2 linked regions of the Tribolium castaneum genome follow. The protein of the gene in region 2 purifies or fractionates together with the protein of the main gene of each other region. This does not show direct contact. Links are inferred from orthologs where the notes say so. Each region holds a gene or a part of one and is shown on either strand. Other genes may lie near its edges.

The links. Proteins that work in one complex are often made in the same cells at the same time.
Region 1: the proteins of Der-1 (region 2) and E3 ubiquitin-protein ligase TM129 purify together in Homo sapiens (affinity purification with western blotting; 3 studies listed by BioGRID). This does not show direct contact. The link is inferred for Tribolium castaneum from reciprocal best matches to the Homo sapiens genes DERL1 and TMEM129.

Annotation. Positions count from the first base shown.
Region 1 is NC_087395.1:16,920,326-16,923,866, reverse strand, and holds E3 ubiquitin-protein ligase TM129, read left to right. Parts: upstream 1-1,516; 5' UTR 1,517-1,632; coding exon 1,633-1,875; intron 1,876-1,921; coding exon 1,922-2,133; intron 2,134-2,184; coding exon 2,185-2,569; intron 2,570-2,612; coding exon 2,613-2,885; 3' UTR 2,886-2,984; downstream 2,985-3,541.
Region 2 is NC_087396.1:17,558,298-17,561,573, reverse strand, and holds Der-1 (derlin-1), read left to right. Parts: upstream 1-1,378; 5' UTR 1,379-1,584; intron 1,585-1,646; 5' UTR 1,647-1,652; coding exon 1,653-2,006; intron 2,007-2,053; coding exon 2,054-2,458; 3' UTR 2,459-2,567; downstream 2,568-3,276. Other genes in the region: Dlc90F (dynein light chain Tctex-type), read left to right, coding at 2,901-3,263. UniProt on the Homo sapiens protein: Functional component of endoplasmic reticulum-associated degradation (ERAD) for misfolded lumenal proteins. Forms homotetramers which encircle a large channel traversing the endoplasmic reticulum (ER) membrane.

The sequences.
Region 1 (3,541 bases), on a different chromosome or scaffold from region 2:
ATTTACGTTATTGAATAAATAATTGTTTTATTTAGGTAAGTACTAGCTGTTTCAAAACTATAAAAACGCCAACGTCGAATTTTACCAAATATTTTTTTTAAATAACATTAAAAACAATGTAAAATAGGTCTTAATAATAAGATCTCTCATTAAAAGTATAATTACATTACCTAATATTTTTTTTTTGTTCCCAATTGTTCCGATTTGTTCTCTTTTGTTCCGGATTGTTCCCGTTTGTTCTTGTTTTACATGCAATCTTAATTGCAACTGAATTTAGTACCAAATTTAGGGAATTTCTGGAAATACTTTTAGATTTGCAAAATTCTGTCTTTATTATTATTTTATTATTTTTATTATTATTATTTATTATAAAAAAATTAATCAGATATGTAAATTTTAATTGTAAAAAGTCTAGAAGCAATAACTATAATAAGTCTTCTGGATCAAGAATGGTTTTAAAAATATTTTTTTAGAAAGAATAAAAAAATCGAATTGATATTGGTTGTTTAAAAAAATGTGTATATTACTATCTAATTACTCCTAATATTTACTAAACAGGTAAGAATAGTTTATGAAAATAATTAATAAGCAAGCTAGAAAGAACAATGATGTATATAGTGAATAAATGAAAATGAATAAAAAACCCCACTTTAATTGTAAAAATAAAGCGAATTATTAGTATTAAAGTTATTTACTACCCTTCGTTAAAGATGAAGATTTGAAATTTATACAGGGTGACCCGTGGGTGCATGCATGCTCCATAACTGTTTTCTATGCAAGCTATCAACTTATCTTTTTTAAACGCTACGTGTTATAATAAGACACGTCTTAAAAATATTTTAATCTTTATACAGAGTGTCGATATAATGTACCCGAGTTTTGTCGACTTATCTGTCATAGTTTTTGTCTTATGTCATATTATGTATGAAAATTACAACGTGCAAAGACCCACAAAAAATTATAACTTTAGAACCATTTAAGATAATTTAACAATTGTTTTCCAGTCGATTCCCTAAACTCTAGCCCATCTTTTGAAATAAAAGCGAACTCGAAGTCGATATTCCAACGCCTACTACAATTTTCTGAAAATGACAAACTACTAATTGCAATAACTCGATTTTTTCAAATACAACACCCTGTATTTTATTGTCCCATTGCATGGCATCTTTTATGAGCTTTTTGTCGATAAGGTTTGTGGGGTCTCATTTGTAAAATGTGTAAGATTTTTGCGAAATAAAATTATTGATGGTTTTTTCGAAAAAAAATCGAGTAGGCCGTTGTCGTAAAATTTATCACCATTTTGAAAAATTATCCTTTACGAAATTTTAAAGTGTAATAGAAATATCTAGAAGTACATCACAAAGGAAACAATTTTAGTAGTCTTTATAAAACCAGGAAGTTATATACAAACAGAAAACAATCTAAAAGTTTCCAAAAAAATCTAGACTATGAATCGTTATGCGGCGAATAGAATTAGTATAATAACAGTGTAAAGGTAAAAAAATAACAATGAGAAATTAAAAAAAATTAAATTAACAAAAAAGTAGTTTCTACCGGTGGCGACACTGTGCGTTGACGTTCCCAAATGCCGTAACCTCAAAAAATGCGTGTTGTTTATTTAGTCCGTTCATTATGTCCGAAGAGGTGATTTTCACCTTATTTTACCTAATTTTAAGCTTCTGTATTATCTACCCCCCTGTCGAGTTCGTGTCTGCCGGCTTCACCATCCCTGCGCTCTTCAGCCGAGTGTTGGGCTCCGAGGACGAAAACTTCGTAAGTTACCACATAAAGCGCACAATCGTAACATTGGGGGTGTATTCACTGTTGCCTTTGGGGTACATCACCGCCCTCTTTGCCTCGGAGTATTTCCAAGACGTGAGTTGGCTTTGGTCCGGGGCGTAATCGCGAGGGTGGCTTGTAGGTTAGTTCTTTGATAATCGACGGTTCTCTCTTTTGGAAAGCGTTTTTCACGACCAGTCTGGCGTTGCCAATTTTGGCGCTCTATCAGATTAGGAACTGGATAATCGACGATTTTAAACACCACCCGATCGCGGTCAATTTGGCCAAGTTTTGCAACAATAATAACAGGGATTGGAAAAGTGTCGCCGGTGACATCAACACCGAATTTAGACGGTATTATTGCGACTATAATCACCTTTGAGGCGTTTGATTGTATCGTTGCAGCGTTGATAAAATCTGCGTCCAAACGAGCTCGGTGATTAAAGTGATAGCCACCGAAAATTGGATTTTGAAAGTGAAACCCTTTACGATTTCACTGGCGCATCAAAGCGACGCCAGTTTAGTGGTCCAGAAAGCTGACACGCACCGGATTTCGCTCCAAACGACCAACGAAACGCAATACTTAAACATCGAAGTTAAGTCGGCCCGAGTCGGTGTCGAGACGTTTATTATCCGCATTAATGCCTCGGATTTCAAGGACTTGGAAGACAGAATAGCGAGAGATATCACCATTTTGCCCAACGTCAAGTTCCATAAATCTGTGACCGAGCAATTCGTTGACGTCTTCAAGGAGACTATTAAAAATAACGCGCGCTACGAGACTAGAGAGGTTGGGGGGCTTTGCCTGGATTTTCGCTGAAGTTTGCTTTCAGGAGCTGGACCAATGTATTGGGTGCATGCAGACGCGCCCCAGCGTCAAGTTGCAGAAGCTGTGTGGGGATAACGCGGGCGGGAATGAGGGCTGTACGACTTGCTATTGCAAGCCGATGTGGTGTGTTGATTGCATGGCGAAATGGTTCGCTTCGAGACAGGAGAGCGACCAGCAGAGTACGTGGCTGTCGTCCAAGTGCACGTGTCCGATGTGCAGGGCGAAGTTTTGCATTTTAGATGTGTCGCTACTTGAGAGTATCGACGTTGAGGAATAAATTGTTGCTTAATTTTAACTGTATTATTTCTTGATAAGGTTTTATCTGGAGTTGCCTGAACGAGATTGCTAATTTGGAAAATAAAAATTTATTTTTAAAGAGTTGTTTTATTGTTTCCCATGAAAAAGCAATAAATGTTTTGTTTACACGATTGATGGGAAAAGTCGGTTTATGACCTGCGAATTGCAATATTTATGGTTTCGTTACATTTATTAGTTAAAAATTTGATGGTTGGGAATTGGGAATTGTAGCTTTATTTTTATCACTGTTGATTCTAGAACCTAACGGAGTGGTTTATTGGTGTTTACATGTAACATTGGTTTTGACCTAATTTTACTTTCGGGTTGCTTATCATTGTATGAAATAATTGCAAAATTATGTTATAAATTTATTGCGAATTGTTTATTTTTACCCATTAGTACTACAATATATGTAGTATATTTTTTCCGATTTGTGCATCGTATTCGAAAAGCCACTTTATTTGCTCTAATTGTGTATTGTGTGCTTTAGATAAGAAATTTTATTATTTCTGTCTCAGGCGGTATCTGTTTTACGTTACAGATCGAGTGCATTTTGATTTTTTAATTCATTTTAAAGTGTTTTTTTTCACTGCGTTTTTGGATTAGTTGAGCTATTTTAAAGCCGTTTTTATCAGC
Region 2 (3,276 bases):
AGTTAGTTTTTGTCGTTATTGTGAAACTTTTTTAAATCCTTAAAATTGGTCAATTTTTGTGTCTACTAGTCAAAAATTCCTTCTGGTTAAAGTTAGAAACTTCTTTTTTGGAAATAAATGCTCAGTGAATAAGTAGTTTTTAAGTTTCAGTTTTGAGAAAAGAAAAATGGGAAAATTAGAACACACTACCAATACAAAGGAAAATACGCGGCAATGCCACTTCAAGCGCATATGGCAGTAACTTTAAATTGCAATAACTTGAGTGTCATAAATAATCATAAAACATATCGAAATGATTCTTGCACCAACAATTTATCTCAGCTGTTAGCTTCGTTTCATGATTATGCATAGGTTTAACTTTTAAGAAAAAAATTCTCATCTCTACTAGACAAATATGTAACGTTACAAGAAAACTGCTATTTTCTCAGTCTTCTTTTGTTGAAACTAAAACTTGTGTGTAATTGTTACAATCCACATCCATTGAGGATTTTTTTTTATAAAAAAATGAAGTTTCTAGCTTTATCCAGAAGGAAGATATAACGATGTAAACACAAAACTTGACCAATTTTAAGTTCTTCAAAAATTTCCAAGGAAACGCCTTTTTCATCATGAAGGCAATTCCAAACAAAAAATCGAAGTTGATTCAAAGTCAGCTGTAAATTTTGCATAAGAATCAGTTTAAAACCCGAAGGGACAAATAAATTATTAATTATTGTGCGCTGCTGATGGACCCTGTTGATCTAGAGTATATAAAATATGTGACGGCAAATGACTTTTGGACACTTATCTTGGAAAGACACCCCTTAAAAAAAAGGATAGCACAGGGACAGGAATATCGCTTTTAGTTCCAAGTGAAGTTACCTATTCTTCTTTTTACAAACTTAATTGGCGCAGACAGTACAAAATGTTTTGTGATTTCATCTTTTGTTTGTAAAAAAAATAATATGAAGACTTCAATATGTTCATCGATGCTCATAGTGCAGTAAGTTTTATTTTCTCGGTCTTTTTTTAACGAAAGGAAATAACAAAAAAACAAATTGTGTATCATGTTCTAAGAGCAAAATTGTGCTTCAAAGGCTAGACCCATGGCGTGTAAGTTTTAATACGTAACGGAAAATACAAAATGATTTTTACAAAACCATTTAACAAGTTTTTCTGTAATCTGCAATTGTACCTATTAATAAATAAGATGTGTTGGATTCTATGTTGCAAACCCCGTGTTGAGGTTTAAAGTAAAATATCTTAGCTCTAAATTAGTCAATTATAGCACAGACATCAAAATTGGGGAACTTTTTTGATCTCAAAAATGCAGATAGTTTCCTGAAGCCAAAAAGGTAAAACTAGGCAACCACCAATCCCTATCACCTTTTTGACATCTACGTCACCCATTTGGAAATTTTGACAATTGACAGCCCCATTGACTGAGTTTGATTTGTCATGTTAGCGAATTTATTGAATATTTAGAACCAGAAAACACGTATCCTTTTCACACTTCTTCGGAATTAATGATTTTTAAAACCTACCACTTGGTGTTATGACTGTGTTACTATAAATACTGGGAGAGTTGCATTACCAAATTTGCTAGTAAGTTAGGTTATGTTTGTTTGATTTCTTTATGTTTTGTTCAATGAAACGTTGTATTTAAGGTCGAAATGTCTGATTTCGGGGACTGGTACCGAAATGTACCGATTTTTACAAGATATTGGTTATCATCAACTGTTGGACTGACGCTGTTGGGACGTTTTGGTATCTTGAAGCCTCACAATTTAGTTTTGTTCCTAGAGCCCCTAAAACGCTTCCAAATATGGAGGCTGGTGACTTCAGCCTTGTATTACCCTCTCAATCCAAGCACCGGCTTTCACTATCTGATCAATTTATATTTTCTTTATAATTACTCAAGGAGGTTGGAAGAGGGTGTTTACGCCGGCAAGCCTGCAGACTATTTCTTCCTCCTTATTTTCAACTGGATTTGTTGCGTCATCGTGGGATTGCTTCTTGAAATGCCCGTAAGTTCTTCAAAACTCTTTTAAGTCGAAATAACCCTTTTTTCCAGTTATTGCTAGACCCCATGATCCTCTCAGTACTATACATTTGGTGTCAGCTTAACAAAGACACGATTGTGAATTTCTGGTTTGGAACCCGCTTCAAGGCAATGTACCTCCCTTGGGTGTTGTTGGCCTTTAACATGGTCATATCAGGGGGTGGTGTCCAAGAACTGATTGGCATTTTAATTGGACACTTGTACTTTTTTCTCATGTTCAAGTACCCACAAGAACTGGGGGGCCCTGCTTTAATACAAACCCCCTCCATTCTAAAGCAATGGTTCCCGGATCAAGTGGGCGGTGTACATGGGTTTGGGGTGCCCCCACAGAGACAACAAAGACCAAATCAAGAGCCCCGCGGCAGGTTTTTCGGGGGGCATAACTGGGGCCGAGGCCATGTCCTTAACGGGAACTAAATCTGTAATTGTGGTTCATTTTATTAAGTATATTTAATTAAAGATTTAATTACTACTACAATTTAAGTGCTTTTGTTTTATTAATGTTTTAATAAAATTCTGGAACGTTTAGTGTTTTTGTCGCATTGGTTGGTAATAGTGTTTATCTAAATGTTTGGTAGATAATGTATAAATTCCAGCAACTGGATATTGATTTTATTTCAACATTTATTTATGAGACAGTTTTATATAAAAAATTTCGTTGCGTGATTAATAGAAATTTTTTTATGATATCGGTGACGTTTTGTTAGGTTGGTATTACCACGCCTTGTCACTTTTGACGTTTCCTCTTTTGAAAGGGGTGAGTTTGTTGTCATTCCTGCGCCGCTTGAGGCGAAATATCAGTGAGATTACAAACCATACAGTGTATTTTCCAAGAATTAACTTGAAGAATTTTAGTATCATGGAGAAAACGAATCAAGAAGTGTTGGACCAAGATCTGCAAGAGGAGGGCCAGTTCGTGGTCGACGATGTGAGTAAGATCATTAAAGACGCGATAGAAACTGTGATAGGAGGCAACGCATATTCCCAAAATAAAGTCAATGACTGGACGACTTCGGTCGTGGAATGTTGCACATCAGAATTGACGAAATTGATGAAACCATACAAGTACATCGTGACCTGTACCATAATGCAGAAGAACGGGGCCGGTTTGCACACCGCTAGTTCGTGCTATTGGGATAATAACACGGATGGGAGCTGCACCGTGCGTTGGGAGAACAAGACCATGTTCTGCATTGTATCAGTATATGGATTAGCTATTTAAATATTTCAACAAG